Astyanax mexicanus: one gene and its partner. The protein of the gene in region 2 purifies or fractionates together with the protein of the main gene of each other region. This does not show direct contact. Links are inferred from orthologs where the notes say so. Each region holds a gene or a part of one and is shown on either strand. Other genes may lie near its edges.

Region 1 (12,951 bases), on a different chromosome or scaffold from region 2:
GGTTTATACCCTATTTTAACCAATACATTTCCATGACTTTTCCATGCCTTCAAGGCAAATTGTCATGACCACACGATTTTTAAAACATCAGTGCAGTAAACATGGAAAATAAACTAAAACTATAATCAAAATTGATTATAGCAGGTCTTAAATGAATCAGATAAACTGTTGACGCTATTTTTTGTAATATTACAATGTGTGTCAGATCTTGAGAGCTGATGTATTTGTTAGCTCAAAATAGATCTTCTTCGATTAACTGAAACACAAAGATTTGTAGACCAACTTTTTATAATTTTTCCAAAACTTTCTGGGTATTTTTGTTTTTCTTAAACTTATCCAGGCCTGAAAAATTGCTGTTTTCAAATTGTATTACTTTTTCAGGTTTTTCATGACCGTACGAACCCTGTGTGATGGTATAATATAATTTTCTTCTGTTGAGTTCTAATAATCTAATTGATTTTAAATCCAAATCAATTGAGTACACAGCAAAACCCCTAATCTGTATATATTACCATCTTCTCTCCACTCCACCAAAGGCTCAGAATATATTAAACAATATTGCTCAGTGGTTTGCTCAGTATTGAGGCGAGTTGTCTGGTAGTGTTCTGCATTCACTCTTTAAAAAAAAATAAAGGTGCCTAAAATCAGTTCCTAAGAAAACCAAAAGTGGTTTTCCAAGAACATTTGCGACACCTTTATGTTTTATTTCTATATTGTTGCATAAAGTCCTAAAGTTCTCCTAACAGATGCAGGAGTTGGAGAAACGCAGTGCCAGACTGGCGACAGATTTCACTGCACAGGTGGAGACCTTATGGCAGGCTCCAGCGCTGGAGATGTAGTTGGTAGCCAGGCGGTGTAGCCTCTTGGCTCCGAAAGTGTTATAGTGGCCGGGCATTACCAGCTCCACCTCCTCTTTGTCCACCATCTCTACCAGCCTCTCGCAGCTGCGAACGTAGTCGCCAACGGCACTGTAGGGCAGCCAATCGATCATGGAGCCGTCGTAGACCACGTCACCGCTAAAGAGCATCTTGTTCTCCTTGTCATGGAGGCAGATGCTGCCTCTGGAGTGGCCTGGCATGTGCAGCACCGTGAGCTGTCGGTCCCCGAGGTTGATGACATCACCTGAGGATGAGGACAGAAAACCAACAGGATGAGAGTGCAGCAACTGGATATTGAGACTGCAATGCAGCACTGACACAGCACAAGCTGCATTGCCCTGTCCACGAATTCTTATAGGGGAGGGAAAGAGGAAATTTGGTGGTTTGTTTCCTTGGGAGATGAGAGTTAAAGTGCTAAAACTCATTGTGCATGCTTTTATTTACTAGGTACATGAAAAAAAGACACTTCAGAAGATTACTGAAGGATCTATCAGTGTTTTGGGCCCATTATCTGTTGCAGATCTTTCAGCTTGATTGATAGATTGATCTCCAATACCAATCAAGTGTAAAGCTGCATGCCACATTAACCTTTCCAGGCACACTTGGTAACGCATAGTCGTGCAGGTTATTTTTTTATGTTTTCCCTTAGCATTAAATGTACTTTTGTACTTTTTTTTAATCAGCCACATTTCAAAATCATCTGTAAAACTCTTTACTGCTGTTTGTCAGCCCTACTGACAATCACTGTACTTTTGAGGGGAATATCCAGTCAGTGTTGTTCAACTCTGCTTCCCCTACAAGGCACATTCTACAAATATGTGAGTTTGAGACATAAATGTGAGTTTGGTACATAATCTTAACTTACTATTATTACTAATATTTTTATAAACACACAGAGCGCAGGGATTTCTACACTAGATAGTAGTAGGCTAAATCCCTATCCGAACGGGATTAATTTCTCAGGAGGATGTCTGTGAAAAATATTTCATACTTCTTCTCAGTGATAAAAACTCTTGTAATTGCAATTAAAAAAACAGGAGGACTAGTGAGATTTTTTTGCTTTCATGGTCACGTGCCATTACGGTGTAATTACGGTGCTTGGCAGTGGACAAATAGCTACTTTATTAAACGCAAAGAGACGAAACTCAGAGATGTGCCTCCGGACGGGACTAAAATTACCAGAGGACCACAGAGTTCAGCGAAAAAAACAGTAGATAATTCAGCCTGTAATTTTCTCAGAGGACGTCTGAGAAAAACATATACATGGTCAATCCGGACGGGAATAAAATCACAGAGGACCCCCCCATTAAAAAGAAAATGACCCCAGGACGCCCTAAGAAACTAATCTCGTCCAGATAGGGCTTAAGCTGGCCTTTGGTAGAACTTGGTCATTCTAGTTGTTGGGATGCATGACGAAATCAGAAATATATTGGTATCTGCGTATAACTGCTTTGTTTAGAAATCATTGGTGTAAGCTGATATGGCCAATATTTAAAGACAACACTTGCTGACATGCTGACAGAGCTTTCAGACCTCAAATAATGCAAAGTAAAAAAGTTAATATTCACATTAATATTCAGTTTTAAGAGTTCAGAAATGAATATTCTGTGGAATAACCCTGATTTTTAATAACAGTTCTCATGCATCTTGGCATGTTCTCCTCCACCAGTCTTACACACTGCTTTTAGATAACTTTATGCCACTCCTGGTGAAATAATTCAGGCAGTTCAGCTTGGTTTGATGGCTTGTGATCATCCATCTTCCTCTTGATCCGATTCCAGAGGGCCACAATTCCCACATTGGTGCATCCCTACCTTTTTTAGCTTGCTCAGCTTAATTATGCTTGTAGACCAGCTAAATTATTAAACAGAAACAAAAACATACCTTATACTGTTAAAAACTAGGCTGGTCAAGAAGCCTAACAAGTCTGACTAGCTTGGGCTGGCCATGCTGGTTTTTTTTTTTTTTTCGGCTTTGTATGACAGTGCTGTGAAATTAACTGATGATAAAGGTGATGGCAGATGAGCTTAAATACATCCCTACTGAAATTTGCATTTTGCTTTGAATTCTGAAGGTATTATTATTACCATCTTACAAGGTGTTACTATCTATCCCATTTATTGCCAACTTGAGAAGCTAGTAAGAGCGTACTACACAGGAACGTTTGATATGGTTAGAGAAATCACACTTTATGTTGGAAATTCGGGCTGTACGATATTGGAAATGTTTTTTTTTCTGCATTATATATTTGCATTACAGATTTAGAAATACAGGAATTTGTGCTGGGTGATATGACATTAAATCAATATGACAATTAACTGAATATTTTACTTTAAATAACAACATATACTGTATTGTTCTTTAGTACAAGATGACAGGGCAGGCTCATGAAACTACACACACAGTAGTATGTCATTAAGGGGACATGCATGAACACACACACAATGAGGAAATATTAACAATATTTAAAGTAAAAAATGAAACAATCCACCAACATAATGGTCAAGATATCGCTCACAGTTTCAATTTTGATTATTTTTAATTATCTGCCCTGCCCTAATCCAACTGCATAATTAATAAAATTATACAGCTGTCCAATATGGTCTGACACAATACTATTGCCAGGATGTTGGACTATTGTTAGAAATACTTTAAAATATTGTGATATCATTGTAGTGTCATATAAGCCATCAGGGTTTCAAGCACTTTATGCTAAGGATATTACAGAACCTATAACAAAAAAGGCTAAAATAAAGTATAATATCATGGGCATATTTATTATTCTTGCACTGGAAGCTACACTGTTTTGCAGCACTTTCTCTGGTAGAACTGTGTAGCCCACCACCTCAATACACCACCTTCAGACAGATAAAGAAATCACATTAGGCCATATTAGACTTGGTTCTCAAACCACAGGCATTCTCCTTTTAAGACAAGCGCAAGTAATCTGATTGTGTTTGATTCCTCTCCAGATCTTACAAGGCGGGTCAGAATGAAGTCATGCTGCGATGCTCTGTTTCCCAGAGCTGAACATGGAATACGCCTGTACTGCAGATTTCAGGGTTTTCTGCTCAAACACGCACATTTAACCTCATTACAGCCTTTTTAGAGAGCTGAAGAGTGACACTAGGCTTTTAAAGAGCTGAGAAAACACTAAAATGTTCTGTGAAGAATATCCAGGGTCAGGAAATTGAGACAGATAGCAATCTAGATTTGATCCTGATGGTCTGCTAAGATTGAGATCAGCAGAAGATAAAAAAGGCTAATACAGTAATCACTAACGCTGCTCTAGCAGATCTCAGAAACAACCTTAATCTACTCCACTACAACCATCTTAGTATTTGCCTACAAGAATCCATGATTAGCTGCAAGCTAGCTTCTGCTGGTGGCTAGTTTCAGATGGGTTTAGCAGATAGTCAAAATATATATTGCTATTGCAGTATATTAGTGCATAAAAAAAAAGAATATAAATGAAAAGTTATTTTATTTTAGTTATTCAGTTCAAAATGTGAAACTCACATTATATAGATGCATTACACGCAGAGTGATCTATTTTAAACATTTATTTATTTTATTGTTAATTATTATGGCTTATAGCCAATAAAAACCCAAAAATCAATGTCTCAGAAAATTACAATATTATATAAGACCAATTGGTACATTTGGCAGTGTGGGCAGTGTGCCAAATCCTACTGGAAAATAAAATCTGCATCTCCATAAAGAGAAAGCATGAAGTGCTGCAATATTTTCTGGGAAAACACTGCATTGACTTTGGACTTGATATAACACAGTGGATCAACACCAGCAGGTGACATGGATCTACAAACCATCACTGTGAAAATTTCAAATTAGACCTCAAGCAGCTTGGACTGTGTGTCTTTTCACTCTTTCTCCAGACTCTGCTCCCTTGATTTTCAAATGAAATGTAAAATTTACTAATGATCAGTGATAATTTGGAGAGACATGTCATCTGCTGGTGTTGGTCCACTGTGTTATATCAAGTCCAAAGTCAACTTTTATGGAGATTAGGATGCAGATTTCATTTTCCAGCAGGATTTTGCCCACACTGCCAAAAGTACCAACTGGTCTTATATAATCTAATCTTCTAAGACACTGATTTTGGGGGTTTCATTGGCTGTAAGCAATAACCATCAAAAATAAAAGAAATAAACGCTTAAAATAGATCACTCTGTGTGTAATACACAGATTGAATTGAATTACTAAAATTAAGTTACTTTTCAATTATAGTGAGATGCACTAGTATTGTATAGTTTCGACTGTATTGTATTATAACAATGATGTAGCATCAAATATCTATATTTTATTCATTTTTTTCGCCCCCCAACTTGACTTACTAAAGTTGCTGCTTGGTTACTCCAAAAAGTGGCACTAATCAAAACAATATGATAATTTAGCTGTGAAGAATATTGGTTGTCAAATTATGTGAAACTGACTGTGAAACATCTGGTATTTGCTTATTTAGGAGTACTTTTTCCTCTTCAGTAACACTGATGCAGTGAAATATCTTTATCGTGGCCAACGAAACGTGATATATAGTAAATATGTCCCGTGATTCCCACTATTAGACAAAAAAAACAGTTTAAATTCTGGACATCTAGATAAAAACATACCATATAGCCAATTGATAAGCTAGCTGGTTAACTACCCAGCTGGCAATCAACGTTGATGAACATAGATGTTATGGTTGAATCGACGTTGAATGAACGTTGTTTTTGAAAAGTGAATCAACGTTGATATGGCAACGTTGTTTCAACGTCATACGTTTAACCTTTTATAAACCATAGCTCACTAAAATTAGAAAATCCTATGGTTAACAAAGTGTTAACAATAAACTTACATCACTGTAGTAAAGCTGAGTACAAAGAAAGTTACCCAACACTACCAATCTGATTACTGAACATCTGATCTCAAAAACACTACAAACAGTAAAACTATTAATACATGAACATGATGTTAAATTAAAATAGAAATAAAACACCTTTTCATTCCTCCATCCAATTTTTAAAAGAAATTCTATGGTGATGAAATGTAAAATGCTGATTCAAAAGGGAGAAGGTTGAGGACATTATGTTGATTCTACGTTAAAATTCCAACTTTAGCACAACCATTGAACATTAAATGATGACGATGTAACGTTGTTTCAACGTTGAAACAACAACAGAGCTTACTTAAGTCATATTTCAACCACATTTCAACGTTGAAGGTCGGTTGTGTGCCAGCTGGGTAGAGGGAACTAATGATGTATTTTATTTTGGTAATGTTGGTAATGCTGGGAGACCAACGTGGTCCAGCTTTGCCGTCCTGATTATCTAGTTTATTCAGGGTTTTCATGCTTGAATAACCCCTTTAAAATCTAAGATGCTGCTGGCCCACACTAATGATAGGCTACATAGCTAGGTGACACACCTTCCTGTAATATGTGAGTAGGCATCACCGCCTTCACTTTGTACCGCCTGGCCGTCCACCCAGGGGACGGGTTCTCCACGATCTCGCGGTCAGACAGCCAGGTCACCGTCTCGAAGTTGTCTCCATTGGCCAGGGCATCGACCTCGGCCTCGTGCACGCCCACCTGTTGAAACTGGTGCAGCCCACCCGAGTGATCGAAGTGGACGTGCGTGCCGATGGCCAGCAAGGGCTTTTTCCGCTTGGCGTCTTCCCCCAGCAGGCCTTTGGAGCTGATGTACTCGGGGAGGCTCCGTAAGCCCAGGCCGGCGTCTATCACCACGTCCTGGTGGGATCCGCGAAGGAGCCAGATGTTAGCCCTGTTCCCCGACTCGTAAAAGCGCTCCTGGATCCAAAACACGCCGTTATCCAGCGTTTTATGAGCGTACCAGTCCATTGAAGACATTGACGCTGTCGTTATTTGCGAAAAAAATCGATTAAACAGCCGAAAAACTGCGATATTCCAACAGAAATCCTGCTACCGAGCACTGCAGCAGACGCCCGCAGCCATGACATTAGCTACATTAGCAAACAGGAGGGCGGTGCAGCGGTTAACGCCCCTTTCTTTTCTCAGGGCAGCGCTGATTGGAGGACGTGGGTGCGCGAGGCAGAGTCAAGCTGAAATACGATTGGTAAAACGAACTCGAACAAGCCCCGCCCAACTCTTCAGCTCACATATAAAAAGCACGCTCTCAACGCCTCTGAAATTCATTTAAGATATTCGGAAAAAATCTGTTGAAGCTGTGAAAAATAGGGATACATTCTGTAATCATGTGAACGACGTTTTACTCTCAAACTCTACTAAAAAAAAGTTGTTTTGGACGTTGTAGCTAATAAAAATAGAATAATAGTGAGAAAGAAAGAAAGAAAGAAAGAGATATAGAGGACCATCATGGCAGGGAGAGGCAGGGGAGTAGCAGCCTTTACCTTCAACATAGAGGCCCTGGGGCTCAACAGAGGATCCATGCCTGAAACCCAGAGAGGCCCACGACCCATGTTCCCTGTGAGTCTATAGTCTATAGTCCTCTGTTGTCTCCTTTGTTTGAATTCTAAAAGGTTCATTTAAGCTGGCTGCTAAATGCTTAGCTCAAAAACTTTATAATGTTTGAACACCATAAAATACATTTTTGAAAGTTTGTAAGAATTTAAAAATGTGGAAAAAATTATGTGTTCTGAATGTCTGTCTCATGCTAACCCTACTGTGCACCTACATATTGAGAAGGCAATGCTAAAACGAGATATATTGTTTTTATTATGTGCCTGGTTACACAGATGCTACGTCACAGTCCCAAACTTTGCATCTCTTCTACAGGAAGTCGAGTTCAAACCTGTGCCTCTAAAGGCTGGTGAGGCTGAAGACTACATGTTGGCTCTGAAACAAGAGATCAGAGGGAAAATGAAAGGCCTGCCTTTCAACATAAAGCCCCGCTCCAGCAAGAACAGTGAGTTACGCTCTCTCAGATTTAATCACAGCAAGCTGTAATGCATGGCAGCTGTACAGCTGCAGCACTTTAGATAAACCTTTTTAACCACACAACAGCAGGCAGAGAGGTGCGGAATCCCTTCACACCTCTGTTGTAAGGGTTGTGAACTGTGGTCCGGTTCTTCTTCAGTGTAAAACAGTATAACACTTAAGAGTATTATCAGCCTTTAAAAAAAGAAGAAAAAGAACCAGGTACTCAACAATAGAGGTGCAAATGCTTAGGCAGGTGATCTCTGTATTTACTGTAGCTGTAGATTAACTACATGCATTTATTCACAAACAAAAATAAAAGACATTTGAGGGTAATGCACACAAAGGGAGTCTGATTTTGGCAGAGAGGGGTAATTCAGCACAACACCTGGAAAGGCAGCTTGCAGAACTGAAAACATTCTGCAACACAGTGTGAAGTATAGAGAGATGTAGCTGACATACTGACGATAATGATGACAGGATGTAGGAAACTTATTTATTCTGCTTAGCAAACTGCAGTGTGAAACTGAACCTATCTGGACTAACTGGTGTTATATTTTTATAGTTTAAACATGAAGCTGTGAAAGGTGTTTGGACATTTTGTGACCTTTTTTTTTTTTTGCAGACGTTGAAAAGTACAAGGAAAAATACGTCAAGGAATATAGTAAAATTGGTGATGAAGAATGGACACCAGGTATCATCTTCACCTTTTAAACCAAGTGTATGATTGTTTGATTTCATATAAACAAATTTTGTCTCAATCTGATTTGCAGACTGGAACCGTCTTCCAAAGGAGCTCATGCCCCAGAAGAAGAAAATCATAAGAAAAACTGGTGCATGCACTTCATTTACATGTGTACATTTTTGTCAGATGTTACGGTATGAGTGCCATTTCTCAACAACATGACCTTTTTACAGATTCTAAGAAATCCAAATCACTTTCGAGCAATGATAAGGAGGTCTTACTGTCTAAACTGGATGTAAGATTTTTTTTTTTTTTTACATTTGTTTTGCCTTCTTTTCTTAATTTTTGTCTAAAATGGATTTGAAAATTACAAACACCTTAAAACAGTTTTCCAGACAGGGATTAAGCTAAGACTTGGACTACACAGCATTTTAAATAGGGATTTTTACATTGAAAAGAAAATCTATGACCAGGCTTAAACCCTGTCAGGAAAACCACTCTTTGTGTATTAATTTAATTCTTAAAATTAGAATAGATCAATTCTCTATCCATTTGGTCTGTTTTTAAAGGAACTGGAGAAGAAAGGGGATGATAAATCAGACGAGGAGAAAGAGGAAAGTGGCAAAAAGAAGGCTGGTGAAGAGGATGAAGAGGAAGTTGAAGGAGAGGAGTTTGATGAAGAAGAGCTTGAGGAGGTAAAAGCTTAGTAATGACTGTTAAACACCATGGGACAGTTTTCCAGACAGGGTTAAGCCTAGTCTTGGACTAAACAATATTTTGAGTGGAGATTTTCCCCTATTGAAAGTTATATATTGTACAACCTGGCTTAATCGCTTTCTAAAAAATGCCCCATATGCTTTGAGTATTTTTAACAGATACAGCCCTGTTTCATTAATTGAAAAACCGCAATATCAAACTGAGCTAGATTTTTGTATTTATTACTTTTGTATTTATTATTAATATTATTATTATTATTATTATTAGTAGTAGTAGTAGTAGTAGTAGTAGTAGTAGTAGTAGTAGTAATTAGTAGTATTACCATTTCTACTAACAGAGGTATTCTTTGTTGCTATCTTCAGTTAAAGTATTAACATAATAACCAGTGTATTTATCATAAGCTCTCTACTGTCCATTATAAACTCCATATTTTACATTTATCTCATTCTATGAAAAAGCTTTTCAAAATCCATTGTAAAGCAAACATACATACATGTGCATTCCAGGTGACGTAGATTGTATTCAGTGAGTTTTTTTGGGTGAGTGGACAGATGGCACATTTACATGGCCTTTTTGGTTGATTTATTGATTCTGTAACTCAGCAAGGTTCTGATCATCGTGCTGCCTGTAAAATAATATTTTAGGGCAACATTACAGATGCCATGCTTGGGTTATGTGGGCGGAAGGACGTGTAGCAGAGTCCAACGGAACTGGTTCACTGCCTGGTTCACTGTATCTTTACCTTCTAGTGTACCTATAATTATACCTAAAAAGATTTAATATTCACACATTATGAATTATATATTATATATATATATTTTTTTTTTAACCTACAAAATCAAATCTGCATGTTGGAACACAATCATTAACTGTTGTGAATACACTATGGAATGATCTGGGAAATGTTGCATTCCTTCCCCCCCCTCCAGGAGAATGACTACATTGCAAGCTACTTTGAAGATGGTGATGATTACGGAGCTGGCAGTGATGACAATATGGATGAAGCCACATACTGACTTGTATTCTTCATCATTTTCTGTATTCTGTTCTTTAAAAGAGACTTATATCTATGTTCTGTGCAATTGTGTATTAAAGTACAAACAAGATTTGGAGATTCAGGTACTAAAATATAGTTCATTTATTTTCAAACTGCAACTACGGTCTATAGGCCGAAGGCACATACTGCTCAAATTCCTTGTTGAACAAAAATGTCATGGTCAAGAGAAAACATTTACAATATGAATTTCCATTTAAGTAATTAAGAAACAGTTCAAATCACTGACCCTTTTTGCACCTGGTCACTTAATGGGACTAGTATCTGGATTGAATCCTAATTAAATTGATTTAATATTAGCTGCATGTGAGTATACTTGGTAGTCAAATGTGTCTCCGGTTAGTCAGACTACAATCTGACTGCTTTGGGAGATGAAATTATGCAAATTTACAAATTTACATATTGGGAGGAGTTGTGGTGGTCAAATGTCAATGTCTCAGACCACCTCTTGAAGCAGATTCATTTTAGTTATTTGTTTTAAATGCATATTGGGTGTGTTTACACTTCTATTTTTCCATGGCTGCTTGGCTTTATATAATCCAGATATAATCCTGATCCTCAAAGTGCATTAAGTGATCAGGTGTAAACAGGGTTTGCTGTGTACTGGCACAAGTTAAATAAGGATTTCAAAATTGCAGCTGGCAGACAAAAGTTTCGAGCAAACAAAGAACAAAACAGCAACATCAATACTGATTTTTGTTTCTGTAACTATGCCCATATTCTAGAATAAATTAGTGTGTACGCATGTATCCCTGATGAGAGACCCCAACCGTCTCAAAGTGATGTTTTGAATAGATTGTTGTTTTTTTTGTTTACTGTTACAGCAAACATTTAATAATTACGTAGCTATACATCCGCTCACATGGGGGAGGATAAAACTGTGCAAAATGCAATAAGGACAATCGCCTGTGGGAGCTGAGCCAGTTCTATCTACTTCAAACTTCACACCAAAGCAGTACCAAGCTCAAAAACACATGGCACTGTTCACATCATTTCAATCAGTCCAGCTATGGCATGAGAGGTTGATAATAGTGTCACAGAGTCTATAAATCATCCCTCATATTAAAGGACGAGTTCAACAGTTTTGAACCAAACACACTGTCATTATTATAATTCCACACCAATCACACTAGGAATGCCTCGACAGAGGAATTATGGATTTATGCACATGTACAGCTGTCTGGAGAAACATTCAAGTAATTAATTGACCTAATTTGTTAATTAGCACTGACTGATCAGATCTACATTCATATGAAATGTGTATCAAGTTGCTTTATATGCATTTTAAGAATAGTTAATCAAGTTAACTGTTAACTTAATTAACTTAGTTAATTAAAATGGTGTATGGTATCGGTCATGTATTTTTGGATTAGGTATTCTCAGAGTATAATCCAATCCAGTCATTTTACAGATCTAATCTGATACAGTAAAATTTAAAAAAGGTGGAATCAGGGGTGCTACTAGTTGTTTAGAATAAAAAAATCTTCAGATCAGACACCCCTGAAAAATGCGTCATAACCGTTTAATCCCCGCAAAAAAAACTCTGCCAGTGTTAGTATCTACCAATAGCAATAGCAAAGCCTGATGTTATCTTAGCTATCTTCCAAATCTTAGACTGCATCTGAGGTAGAGTAGGTCCTTGGTTGAACTGTCCTATGAAGATTATTTTTTCAGTAAATTAACTGATGTCTTTAATAATCTTAAACCCTATTCGAATGGGATTATTTTCTCAGGGGCATGTCTGTGAAAAATATTTCCCACTTCTACTCAGTGATAAAACTCTTACATCCGGACTGCAACTGAAGAAACAGGAGGACTAGTGAGATTTTTTGGCTTTCTCGTTCATATGACATCGCGTTCAGTAGCTCTTCCATTTCCTTCACTATTGTGTTTACATGTATCTCAATGGAAACGTGCACCCAAAGTGTAATTACGGTGCATGGCAGTGGACAAGTAGCTATTTTATTAAGCGCGAAGTGACGAAACTCACAAAAATTACTGGGTAATTCGGAAATAAATTTACCCCAGGACCCCCTGAGAAACAAATCCCATCTGGATAGGGCTTATGATGTAAAAGCAAGGCTGCAGGAAGTGCAGCCCACCTTTTTTACTAAAGATGTGTCAAAAACAGAGAGTTATGCCAGAAAACGTTGTCTATAGAACAAAGTCAAATTTGCTGAAACCCTTCTAAAAATGTTGATGTGCACTTCAAAACAGAAATGTCCCATTTTTATATATATTATCTTATCTAGCAACTATATTTTTATATAGAGAGAGAGATCCGGTTCAACAATATTGAACTCATCCTTTAAAAAAAAAAAAAAAAAAGTACAATACATATTACTTCAAGTGGTTCTGTCGAAGTAAAAAAAAAAAAATGCCACCAAAGTAATGTGTTGGTCCATGTCAACTGGTCCAAATTCCCAATTTGTATATTTCTATGTTTTATGTTTTCTGTCTCTGCCCCAGATCTGGTCCCTCAAGTTCAACAACTGGATGCATATGAGATTTCTGGTGAGGAACAGCCTTGGCCGGCGGCATAGCAGGAGGAGCACCAAAGGCAGCATGTGTAGGCTCAGGTCTAATGGACTCGGCGGTAGCGTGGTGACTAACATCCGACTTCATCAGCACCTCATAGTATAACAGGTAAAACACGGGTGTGACGATGCCAACGACGAGCATGATGGCCACTGCAGTCCAC
Region 2 (13,192 bases):
GACTTTGAAGTAGTAGTAGTAGTAGTAAGTAATAGTAATAATCACGTGGATGAAGAGATGCAGATTTGTACAGCATAGTCACATATGCACGAAGAGAAGTGAAAGGAAAAACAGGTTGATCTTCCCTTTCCAACCGAGGAGCTTACTGATGCAGAGAGGAGAAAAGGGCAAAACGGGCAAGGCAGCCCTTTCAAGGCTAGTCTCAGTGAAAGTTCTCCAGCTTGCGTAACCGCAGGGGATTGGAGGGCAAGGCCTGAGGAGACGGAGTGGCAGCCTCTTGGTCAGGTGAGCTGAAGAGCACCCGGCCTCGGTGATTAAACAGGTAGAAAGAGGGGTGGTTTCTCAACGTGTCAAATGTCCTGGGAAAAAGGGGGGAGCAAAAAGACAAAAAAGGTGAGTAATGTTGTTAATAGGGCTGTGTATTGGCAAAACTTGACAACACAATACGCATCACAATACAGGGCTTACGATTCAATACATGGCGATACACTGCGGTACTGTAAGCAAGGGATATATTATGTGGTATGTTATTTCAAATTCTTTAAAAATTCTTCAACTTTTTTCCCCCCTATTTTCTCCCTAATTTACAAGGCCAATTACTCTACCCACTCATTGGGACCCCCCCAATCACTAATGACACCCCAACACCAGGAGGGTGAAGACTAGCACACGCCTCCTCCGATATATAAGAAGTCAGACTCCACTTCTTTTAAAACTGTTGCTGATGCAGCATTTCCGAGTATCATCACAGCGCAAAAAGTGCAGCGACTCGGTTCAGATACATCAGCTCACAGATGCCTTATGCTGATCAATATCACCCTACGAGTGATGTGGGAAGAGAGCGCCATCTACCAACCCAGAGAGAGCAAGGCCAATTGGCTCTCTCAGGGCTCTGGTAGCTGATGACAAACTACATAAACAGGATTTAAACCGTAGTTGATTTTTTTCCAGCCGCAGCCACTGAAACTCTTTGATAGCTCCTGCGATGTTGGTAAAGATGAAACTGAAACTTTATGTGAAGCACTGCTCATCAGTTTTACAGTGTCAGCTATTCAGGCAAATGTAATATATAGGTCAAGTTAAAAAGTGTGCACAAACCAAAATAAACAACTGATTAGGTGATAAAATCGTATTGGGTCACTACACTTTCTGTGTAAACATAGCCTTAGAGTTCAGATGACATTATTATTATTATTACTTGGACTTACTTGTGTTTGAGCTCTGAAGAAGCGTCCATGTCTTTAAACTCACCAGAGATGTGGACTATTCCACAACATGTAATCACAAACGCTAATAACGTCTGTAAGACTATCTGCAAACAGAATAAAAACACATTTCAGAAATAATAACTCCAAAATTTCACTTTTTACCAAACTGACACATTTAACATTTAAAATGATAAGAAAAAGAACTTACATCTATTGGAAGAGTCTCATTTTCTTTTTCTGTTAGTCGCATGTATGATCGATCTAGAAAAAAAAACACAATTGGTGTGATCAATTTTAAATGTCCTCAAAAGCTGAACAAAAGGTTTTGGTTTTTTTGGGAATATGCTGAAATGTGATCCATCTATAATCATTCTGTAATGACAGCACTAATCTTTCCTCTCTGCCAGTGAAGCTGTTCTGCTTTCTGAAAAGCACTTAGGCAGTTTTCCACATGACAAACAAAATTCATATTTTTTATGCTGTTCATATCAATATTGGAATTATATTATAGCTAGAAATACTATACAGAATATATATTGTGGTATAAATTTTGGCCCAATTTTCTACGACTAGACGGACAATATTGGGAAAAATAACATTGCAATACATTTCTAAGATACGTATTTACATATAAGCAAAAATACAGTAATTTTAAACAGATTTCACCAGAAATCAAATTTGGACTAAAACAACCAATCGATTAAATCAATTATTAATTCTAATGATTAATTGTTCCTTATACAATAAGGTTCTCTTAAATATTTCATTATAAAAACAATATTTGAACTAATATATTACATATAGCTTGAATTAATTATATTAACACTATGGCATTTTTATATTTCTTGAGAATTTTAATCAAATACTGCTTTGTGTGTTACTGTTTAATGTTGCTCTGGGACTACAAATTTAAAAAATACTGTTTTAGAGATGACATTAAATAAAATAGCCACATTCTAAAATGCTGCCTGGGGCTACAACGAGTTAATAAACATATTTTCCTTATATCCAAAGAATAATCGATTAATTAAGTAATCAACAGACTAATCAAAATCATCATTAGTTGCATTCCTTAATCAAAATTCTTTTTCAGTATCTAACCATTAAAATAAAAATGATAATGGCTGAATAAAATGTAAAAACTGCACAATGTAAGTTAGTAATTATAGCTATAGCTTTGTATAATTATAGCTGACATCATTAACTTAGCTAATTAACTAACTGTAACACCATATTCTCTAGACATTTATTTTAATTGACCCTCAAAAAGACGTTAATTAACGTTTAACGTTACATGAGACAAATCCTACTGTATTAACCTAGCGTTAACTAGCCAGTATCTATCTTCTAAGCGCTTATATAGCTTAGCTAGCATTTTTGCTAATGCAAATGCTGTGATCTAGCCTGAACCGCATACACACGTATAAATCTATAAAGTCTGCCGTGAAATAAACACAGCTAAAACTAGCTGACTACAGTATAAATAAGTATAATAATATCAGTGTGTAGACTGTTAAAGCTGCTCAATGTAAGTTGTATAATTAGCTATAGCTGTAACTGAGGGTCTGGCTGAACGCGCTGCTGCTGCTGCTGCCGCCGCCGTTAAGTCCGCAGCGCAGCTTTAGCACTCCGGCTAGCTAAGCTAACCCGCCAGCTCTACAGGCCACGAAGCCCGTATACACCATTTTATAAAGCTAGAAAATTTAACACAAGCCCCCACAGCCGATCCCCGCACCACTACTCACGCTGTGCCGCCGAGAACGCTGCGTGGGCCAGCGCAAACAGGCCCAGACCAACGACGCCTTTCCAAAAGGACGAAGCCATTTTCCACTGAGTGAAGCACTGAGCGCTGACTGAGCAACGGGCAGCATCCCTTACCCAGCGTCCTGTCAAAATAAGAGTTTTGGTCGGGAGTAGAAATCCAGGCCAAACATGTCGCCTCAGCCTCCGTGCTTTTATTTTGAAAAATATTAACGGTTTAAAAATGGCACCTGTCGTTATTAGCATGAACATGCATTTTCTAGTACTGAAGAATACTATATATATTTTTGTTAAATATATATTTATTTATTAAATGCACAGGGGTGATTGTATTATTTTCAATATCTTACATAATATAGAAACCATAATTAAATAGAAACCACACGTAAAACAATCCATTACATATATTAACCCTTTCAGACCGTGTATCTATTAAAACATCGTGTATTTTCTCTATTTTTAAATGTTTTGTTGCTCATAACACTATTTAAGAGCTGCTGTTGTCCGTTAAAATAGACCATGAACCAGGCCCCGCCCACTGCAAAAACACTGGGAAAACAGTAATACTACAGCCATTGAGGCAAAGTAACAGCTAGTTTTTGCTATTTTTTTTACTGTTTAAGGATGGTTAATGAAATATTAAAAATAAAAGATTAAAGATCATAATGAAATATATTACACACAGGTTCCAATGCAATGGAAATAAAAACCCTGTTTAATATTTTAGTTTATTGGATGTTTTTGCTTATATAGGTTTTATAGTAGAATATTAGAGTCTTCTTTTCTGTGCATTACAGAGAAAACAGCATTCTTACATTTTTTCCATCACTGAAGGTAATTCAGGTCTGAAAGTATATATATTTATATATGACAATATAGCAAACAAGTCATTGGTTAACAGCTTACAGCTGGTAAGTAGCAATGAAAATGAAGCCTACACACACACACACACACATATATATATATATATATATATATATATATATATATATATATATATATATATATAGATAGATAGATAGATAGATAGATAGATAAAAAATAAATAAATATATGTATATTTTTTATATATTTATTTATATATTTATATATATTATATATATATATATATATATATATATATATATATATATATATATATATATATATATATATATATATATATATATGTGTGTGTGTGTAGGCTTTATTTTCATTGCTACTTACCAGCTGTAAGCTGTTAACCAATGACTTGTTTGCTAAAAAATAAACCCTTCTTTTTTTTAACAATATCTTTTTTCTTTTTTTTTTACAATATGCTCTTTTTTTACAGTTTCCAAGAGTCTTTTGAAGGTGTAAGAAACAGTACTCTCGCTCTCTGGCTTCATCTGTAATTTCTCTAAAGAAAAGACTTCTTCTTTTAATAGTTACATAGGTGCATTTTTCTGGTTATCATGATGAAAGTGTGAATGTGCTGTCTGTTGTTTTAATGCTTCAGTAGAGAATGCAGTAACAATGTTCTGTTCAAATACTGCAAGACTGCATTTTTAAAAATCCATTTCCAAAGCTTAGTTTATTTCCATTGCTGCTTCCCAGCTGTAAGCTCTTAAACAATGAATATCTAAAAGTCTTAAAGTCACCCCCATGATCTAACACCTGGGGTACACTTAAAGTATATTAATTATGAGATAAAGAAGAAACACTGTACACTGGTGTGGCTCTCTTCTCTACTACAAACACCCGTCTTTAATCTGTGGCCTTAATTTGTCTGGAGCACAAGATGAAAAAACACATGAAAGTTTCATTCAGAGCGTGCTCAGTTTCTGTCTGAATGCCAGACTCTATCACAGACCTCTCCGCTGTGGTTCCGCCAGAGCCTGTGTGGAATGAATAAACAGTGTCTGGTTAAAAAGTACCTGACCTGAATTAAGGGCCTCCTGTATTGTCCCTTCACTTCCTCTACAGAAATCCCATGTTCTGGGGGTGTTCCTTTTTATTAAAAGAGAAATTCAAAATATGTTTTTATTCCTAATAGGGCCTGGTGTGTTTTGTATTGCTGATAAAATGTTGTGGGTCCTTCAGGGGGACATCTGGCTACAAACAGGGCTGTTTAAAAAGAGTTTTATGGAATTCACAAACGTCATACAGAGAAGGAAAATATGACAGCAGTGAAAAACATATTGTCGCTGTCCAATGTAAAACACTTATCTCTAAAACAGCAACTTTACAGGAGAGAGAAAAAACCTTGTAAACTTTCAGTGGAAGTCAATGTAAAAAGAGTATATTTCAGGTCATTTTGAAGAGTTTCTATTGGTCCGTTCATTAAGAAATTTTGACACAGTGTAAGGGACAGTTTGTCTGTTCAAATTATGTAGTAAACTAAAAATTGGACATAAGTGTTTTTCATAGGACAGCGACGATATGGGAAGCAGTTTAAAAAAGTTACAAAAATATAACAAAGCAAAGTGAGGCCACCACTGTAAGAAGAAGACCTACACTTCACAGAGTTTTTCCACAACCATGTTTACAGGATTTTGTACCAAAAAGTACAAAAGTATTCAACATTTAGCAACAATCATCTCAACAAATGGGCAGTTTGGGCAGGGCACTGGGTGATGTATGGGTTTAGAGGCAGAACAGGAGAAAGAGCTGATTGGCTGAGCTACAGCAGCAGGAAGTTTAGTGTCCTTTTAAAAGGGAACTTAACAGGCTTTTTAGTATCTGCAATAAGATTTATTGCCAAACGAACCATTGTACCATAAATAAATATTCTACCAAACATCTAGCTGCAACGACTAGACTATAAAAAATTGTCGACACAGAATTTAATTGTGGACGCACCTTTAATGCGTGAAGGAGCAAAGAGAGTGTGCGGGAGAGAGAGCATTCGAAAGAAAAAAGGGGTAAGTGAGGAAGACACATATATAGTGGGTTAAACTCCTTCATTAAGATTACTAATGCTAGTTAAATTACCTGGCTAAGTGTTAGGGAAATACTGTATTCTGTCCGCTCCATTAAAAATTATGTTATAGTAACTACATATCTGTTAATATTTACATCTCAATTGAAAACATATACATATCCTAGAATCTCCTGAAAATTACATCCAGCCTGTGCAAATGTTTCCTATAATATAGTTTCTATCAAACTTTTAAAAGCTGCACAATTGGTCTAGGGCCCGAAATGTTTAGCAGTCAATGTGCAATAAAATATACATTGTGGTTAATCGACTAATAGAAAAAAAATCATCAGATTAATCATCAGATTAATAGTCATTAGTTGCAGCCATACAAACATCTACAAATTACTTTTTTTGCTTTATTTATTTACATTTGTACCTCTTGTTTTTATGTTACTTGTTGAAGACAAATGATGAAGACAACAAAACAGAGACATAATGTAAACATATATAATGAATAGTCATTATTTATGTTTACCTTATGTCTCTGTTTTGTTAATCTGATGGGTTTTTTTTATTAGTCGATTAACCACAATGTATATTTTACTGCACATTGACTGTTAAACATTTCGGGCCCTAGACCAAGTGTGTAGTACATTTTAAAAATTATATAAAAATATAAAAATTATATAAAATTTTATAATATTATATAAAATTATATTAAAATATTCTGCGCAGTGGCTGCGCATCTCGTGCGCCGCAGTAACGCGCGCTAGTAACAGTGGAGCGCTCCTCCAGCGCGGTGACGCAGAGCGAGGGGGCGGGGCGGAGCGGCTGTGAATCAGGAACAGAGCTCAGCCTTTTCTGCCGGAGCTGAAATTTCCTCCTGCGGGTTTATTATGGTTTACTGATCCTCCGCCGAACCCGCGACCCTCACACCTGCAGCTTCCGCAGGACAGGCGAGCATGGGATCCGGGGGGAAAGTGAAGGCGGCGGCCGGGGCTCGAGGGGCGCTGCTGCTGGCGCTGTTAGCCGGCCTGTGCGCGCTGTTCCGCGGCTGCGGGGCTGAGGACAGCGCGATGGAGAACATCGTGACTGAGAAGAAGGCTGAGGAGAGCCACAGACAGGACAGCGCAGACCTGCTGATCTTCATCATGCTCCTCACCCTCACCATCCTCACCATATGGCTCTTCAAACACCGCCGCTTCAGGTTCCTACACGAGACGGGCCTGGCCATGATCTACGGTAAGAGCGGCTGATGCTGCTGATTAGAGTGGGGGATGTTTACATTCAGCATCCAGGATCTAACTGAAGATACAGCTCTGGGAAAAATAAGAGTCCACTTAAAAATGATGAGTTACTTTTATTTTACCAAATTGAAAACCTCTGGAATATAATCAAGAGGAAGATGGATGACCAGAAGCTATCAAACCAAACTGAACTGCTTGAATGTTTTCATCAGGAGTGGTATAAAGTTATCCAAAAGCAGTGTGTAAGACTGGTGGAGGAGAACATGCCATGAAAAAGCATAGAAACCGTGATTAAAAAACAGGGTTATTCCACCAAATATTGATTTCTGAACTCTTAAAACGAATATGAATATGAACGTGTTTTCTTTGCATCTTTTTGGTATTTCAGCCATTTCTAATTTTCTGCAAATAAATGCTCTAAATGACAATATTTTATTTGGAATTTGGAAGAAATGTTGTCCACGGTACATTATACAATAAACAAATAACAATGTTCATTTTACTCATACCTATAAATAGAAACTGATTTAGAAACTGAAGTGGTCTCTTAATTCTTTTCACAGAGCTGTATTACTATGTTTAGTAGTGCAGTATTAGTGCTGTGTGGCACAGACAAGCTGCTTTTTTATTTTCTCATCTTATTAAAGTCTTTACTACCTCAACTCACCTGTCAGACCTCTAAGTTTTCTCTTCACTGCTGAAACCGAAGAGACTAAGTCCAATGTAAATAAGCTGAGATAAAGGCTAAAGCTATTGTCATGTGGGTCAACCAGCCCTTTTTTTGAGGGGTATAAAACAGTACTTACCACTTTCACTGGCTTCATATGTTATTTCTATAAAGAAAAGGCTTTTATTTATATGGTTTTAGAGTCCTCAGCGCTTCTGTGTCTTTTTCTAGTTATTATGATGAAAATGTGACCCTAACACCTACGCTGACAAGTATTTACCTTACAACTATAGACCCAGCTGCTGTTCACACGCCATATACTGATATTAGTGTGTTAAATAAGAGGCTGGACATGACTACAGTAATCTAGCTATCAAAGATTCTGCCGGAGAACCATCTAGAATACATCTCTGCCCTTTAGCTAGTTAGAGAAAACATGTTGCTTCTTGGTTCCTCCTTAGATTATCATCAATAATCTCTTTTACAGTAAAACAGTATAAGCTGTTGGGAAACATCAGTAAGGGCTTTTTACTAGAAGAAATTGTAGTTCCATATGTCTCTCAGATAAAAGAGAGTAAAAATTCAATGCTAACCATTATTAAATTTTATTGAGATCATGACAATTTATTGTATACAATCAGTCAATAAAGTAATTATCATGACCGGCCTGCTTGTAAATATGCATAGCTGATATCGGAAGTGAAAGTTTCTAATAGTAAAAACTCCTTCTGTGATTTGAGCAGAGTTAGGATTTGCATTGTTGGTGGCATTTTAGGCTAAAACAGTTTGCTATTGCCATTTGTGTGACTTTCTGTTGTTAAAGATTTGTAAGCTTTGAGGCTAAGGTGTTTAATACACTGTCCCAAACACTGTCACTAGCCTGTGGTGGGTTTTACGAAAGGGTGGATTTCTTAGCACTAAAATTAATCTTAAATGGTTGAGCAAACTTCATACTGAGCACTCTCTATCTTAATGTTAAGCTGGTTTATTGATAAGATGGTTTTAGGTAAACTGAGCCCAGAACAGTTAACTTGTTAAAATCACAATTGTATGGAAATGCTTTATATGTGGTGTTGATAGTCATTGCATGTCTGTTGTGAAAAATATTAAATCTTGTTTGAGAGATATTTTTGCTAGATTTCCCATTTTAGCTGGTCTCAAAAGGAGAAGAGATGAGGTTCTCATTTTGTAATTTATTAAACCAACATTAAAATTCGGTGTTGTGTAAAACCACACAGGCCACTTAATATAAAACAGAAGAAAGAAAACAAGTAGAGTATTTAATATTGACTCGTTTATTCTGTGTTATTAGGATTGCTTGTTGGGGTTGTGCTGCGCTATGGGATCCATGTACCTCGAGACATCAACAACGTCACTATGAGCTGCCACGTCAATTCCAGTCCAGCTACGTTGCTGGTCAACGTCAGTGGCAAGTTCTATGAGTATACGTTAAAGGGTGAGATCAGTGCCAATGAAATCAATGATGTTCAGGACAACGAGATGCTTCGTAAGGTAAAAGAATTACTTATATTTGAAAAAAATATATTAAAAAAGGGTTTCTCTAAAATTCTCCTTCACCTTTACTAAGTGATTTAGTACATTTCAAGTGTTATTCTGCTTTTCTTGTGGATCAGATGAGTCTAACACTGTATTTATAACCCTATGACTCGATAATGTGTATCATTTTAGTTTAGCAGCCTTCTATTCTTGTTGACATTTAATGCTGTTAGCCTTATTTTACTGCAAAGTCAAAAACTCTGATTGCTGGTGTGTCACATGTCAGAGCTGAGGTAATGCATCACATGTTTCAAACAGTTTGAAGTAATGTGTTTATATTGACCTGACTGTAGTACAGTCTTATCAGTGTGTCATATCTTATTCTCTTCTAGGTAACTTTTGACCCTGAAGTGTTCTTCAATATTCTCCTGCCTCCAATCATATTTCACGCTGGGTACAGTCTCAAACGGGTATGAACTCTTCTTTTGTTTAGACTGGGACAGCTTAGACTACGTCACACTAAGTAGCAAACTGGCCACATAATTAGATTTAAGAGAGCTTGACTTGAAGCGAGTGCATCAGATTCATGACTGTCTGAAGTATAAATACCAGAATTAAATGCTCAAGACTAGCAAAACTAGCCAGGAAATTGCCATATGTCTTTGAAATTGGAAAATAGCAATTTCCAGGCCTGAATTAGTTTTGGAAAAATAAATGTACTCAGAAAGTTTTGGTTAAACTATGAAAGTTTGGTTTACAAATCTTTCTGTTTCTGTTTATCGATGGAAAAAAAAAATCTATTTTGAGCTAACAAATACATCAGCACAGAGTTTAGTAATTCAGTAATTTAACCCTACGCAATGGACCTTTCAGGATCTGACACATATCTTATTATTAAAGATTTTAATCAGATTAATTTTAGGCCTACTATAGTAAATTTTAATTATAGTTTTAGTGATTTTTTGCTTTTATTGTCCATGTCTGCACTGATGTTTTAAATCATATTGTCATGAAAAGTTGCCTTGACGGCATGGAAAATCATAAACAAAATCATGGAAATTTATTGGCTAAAAAGTGTATGAACCCTGTTATAATCTATTAGTGAAATTCATTGTCTTTCACCTTATTTCAGAGACATTTCTTCAGGAACATGGGCTCCATCCTGGCGTATGCCTTTGTTGGAACAGTGGTGTCCTGCTTCATCATTGGGTTTGTGCACTTTTAAAACAGCCTTTCTGAATTCACCAGCATTCAGCAGCTCATTTTAAAAGGAGGATTTTTGCTGCCATTTCAGGTTACTGATGTACGGCTGTGTGACGCTGATGAAGCAGATTGGCCAAATGGATGGGGACTTCTTTTTCACTGACTGCTTGTTCTTTGGTGCCATTGTGTCAGCTACCGACCCAGGTGCGTCTTATGCTATTTTCACAAATGTAGTGAAATGAAGTTCACTAGCAATGCAATGAATATATGGCAGTGGTGGTTGGTGCGGCACCTCCTGCCAGTGAGCTACCACATTATGTGGGAGACTGGGGTTCAATTCCCGGTCTGGGTGACTGGGTGCTGCTCTACACCAATAAGAGTCCCTGGGGCAGACTCTATTGGCACTACATTGGCCTTCCTCTGTAATAAAAATAACCATTTAAGTTGCTCTTCATAAGAGTGTCAGCTTAACGCTGTAAATGAAAATTAAAATGTAAATTGATTTGGGTGAAAACAGCAAAATCATAAATGTAATAAATTATATTGAACAAGATTATGCTTTATTGTCATGTATGCTGGGAGGTTGAAAATGTTTAATTAATAGTAGTTTTGTAATTGCTTTTTCTTTAAATGAAGACTAAAATACATTTAGGGTATTTATGCAAAAAAGTGCCAAAGTTAATGGATACTTGTGAAAACGTCTTCTCTAATGTTCATTTTGTTATTTTTACAGTGTGGTAATTTACAACACATGTCCTTTCTTAAGGAATTTAGTGATGCATAGATGCTAAACTAGTTTGCATTTTAAGCTAGCTGACATGTTTTCCTCAGTTTGACAGAAGGATAACTGGCCTGTCTAAACATTAGGCAGTCGAAAAACGTATTGTAATAAACAAAAAACAAACACAACTTATGTAAAACAACACAGCTTTAGTCATATTTATTTATAATTTCAATTATAGTTCAGGGAAAAGTTGATTGTTAACCTTTGTTGTGAATTTTTAAGTTACCCTTAACTCTTTAAGTACTACTTCAAGTGTGTTAGCTTGAAGTGCGTTAGCTTGAAGTGCGTTAGGTTGAGGTGCGTTAGCTTGAGGTGCATTTGCTTGAGGTGCGTTAGCTTGAGGTGCGTTAGCTTGAGGTGCGTTAGCTTGAGGTGCGTTAGCTTGAGGTGCGTTAGCTTGAACATGCTGGGAACTAATTAGAAAATAAAAAGGCTGTGGACTGGGTAATTCATTGATAATTAATTGAAACTGACATTTAAAAAAACCCTAACTAAAGAAAAAAAATATGTTAATCATGTTTTAAAGTAACTATTCATTAATCCTAATTAAGGTAAAATGTTACATTTTTCTTAACTGTTGTTTTTAATGTCAAATTGCCAACTAGTGTAGTTGTGGAAAAGTAATGGTTATGCGTTGGGTGTAAATTAGCTGATACCTAATTGTTTTAAAGCCTGTCTGGATCAGAACAGGTAGTATGATTTCTAAATCTGATCCTTAATACTAAAGCTTGTGTTCTGAACTTTGTTTCCTAGTGACAGTCCTGGCCATCTTCAATGAGCTGCAGGTGGATTTTGACCTTTATGCTCTTCTGTTTGGGGAGAGTGTATTGAACGATGCGGTGGCTGTGGTGTTGTCCTCGTAAGTATTTTTTCTTACAGTAGTTCATGTTCCTGTTCAGCAGTGTAGAATCAAATATATTATACATTTAGACATCTTTTGGACTTCTCTTAATGGCCAGATCAGATTTAGAACATTTTTAAAAAACATTTTAAAAACATTTGTGTATTTATAGGCCAGTTCCTGCATATTCAGTAGTATGCATTAAATCATTCACCTGTTCTAGTTGTACACATTAGTGGAGCACGGTGTTTTGAGATGTTTTATAACTTGATACTAATCACAGAACGTCTGCAGTGTGGAATGTGCCTAACATTTGGTTCTTGTCCTGTTGAACCCGTGTCCTCATCTCCAGAATTCTCCCTAATCACGGGAGGCACGGTGGGGTGGGCCAGCATAGCCACGGAGGCGTGGCTCAGTGCGTAAAGGGCGGGAACCAGACGCAAAGACCGCCCCTCAATGGGTGTGCTACACAAGTAGCTTTGATTCTGAAGATCAGAGTTGTTTTGTGTGTCTGCATTGGCTGGTGAAAGCCACAGTATGCAGAGTGAATGGCTCACAGTTAGGCCTCATGCTCTCTCCTGAGGTGAATCAGCATTATTTACTACCTAAATAATCAAAAAGGATCTGTTTTCCACAGTGTGATGTGGTTTAATTTTGAATTTCATAATGAATACCATTGAAAAATGTAAATTTAAAGTAAATTATATCCAGCTGTGTTGTAGACCAGCCCTGCTGAACCAGAGCTGAACACCCATGAATTAAATAAGCTTATATATTTGGGGGGATATTGGGGCCAAACTGTGGGCATTTGCTGGCTGGGTGATGGGTGTGTGTTTTGGCTTCAGGTTTGACCCTCAGAAGTGCTTCTGTAGAAATACTCTTTACTCCAGGAACCCTTTATCTGCTGTACTCGCACCCTTATTTGTATTGTTTAAATAGGTAGAACCCCATGATTTCTGCGATATGGAGAACATGGACGGAATCTATAATTGAGACAAACGAATATAAAGAAATGAAGAAAAACTGAGTAAAAATACTTTTAATAATTTAAAACCTGTATGAATCTTATTCAGTGCTTCAGGATGCACCTGAACTGCAAATTA

The links.
Region 1: the proteins of slc9a6a (region 2) and mblac2 purify together in Homo sapiens (co-immunoprecipitation; 3 studies listed by BioGRID and IntAct, counting the BioPlex papers as one, with this or other methods). This does not show direct contact. The link is inferred for Astyanax mexicanus from reciprocal best matches to the Homo sapiens genes SLC9A6 and MBLAC2.

The regions. Positions count from the first base shown.
Region 1 is NC_064429.1:22,495,893-22,508,843, forward strand, and holds the start of mblac2 (metallo-beta-lactamase domain-containing protein 2), read right to left. Parts: upstream 6,866-12,951; 5' UTR 6,748-6,865; coding exon 6,306-6,747; intron 1,123-6,305; coding exon 740-1,122; 3' UTR 1-739. Other genes in the region: polr3g (DNA-directed RNA polymerase III subunit RPC7), read left to right, coding at 7,234-7,344, 7,654-7,783, 8,420-8,488, 8,568-8,673, 9,049-9,174, 10,126-10,438; lysmd3 (lysM and putative peptidoglycan-binding domain-containing protein 3), read right to left, coding at 12,696-12,951. UniProt on the Homo sapiens protein: Acyl-CoA thioesterases are a group of enzymes that catalyze the hydrolysis of acyl-CoAs to the free fatty acid and coenzyme A (CoASH), providing the potential to regulate intracellular levels of acyl-CoAs, free fatty acids and CoASH.
Region 2 is NC_064417.1:46,679,962-46,693,153, forward strand, and holds the start of slc9a6a (sodium/hydrogen exchanger 6a), read left to right. Parts: upstream 1-6,654; 5' UTR 6,655-6,812; coding exon 6,813-7,092; intron 7,093-9,076; coding exon 9,077-9,276; intron 9,277-9,653; coding exon 9,654-9,731; intron 9,732-10,393; coding exon 10,394-10,470; intron 10,471-10,555; coding exon 10,556-10,668; intron 10,669-12,001; coding exon 12,002-12,107; intron 12,108-13,192. Other genes in the region: mmgt1 (ER membrane protein complex subunit 5), read right to left, coding at 203-359, 1,209-1,312, 1,417-1,469, 2,954-3,032. UniProt on the Homo sapiens protein: Endosomal Na(+), K(+)/H(+) antiporter. Mediates the electroneutral exchange of endosomal luminal H(+) for a cytosolic Na(+) or K(+).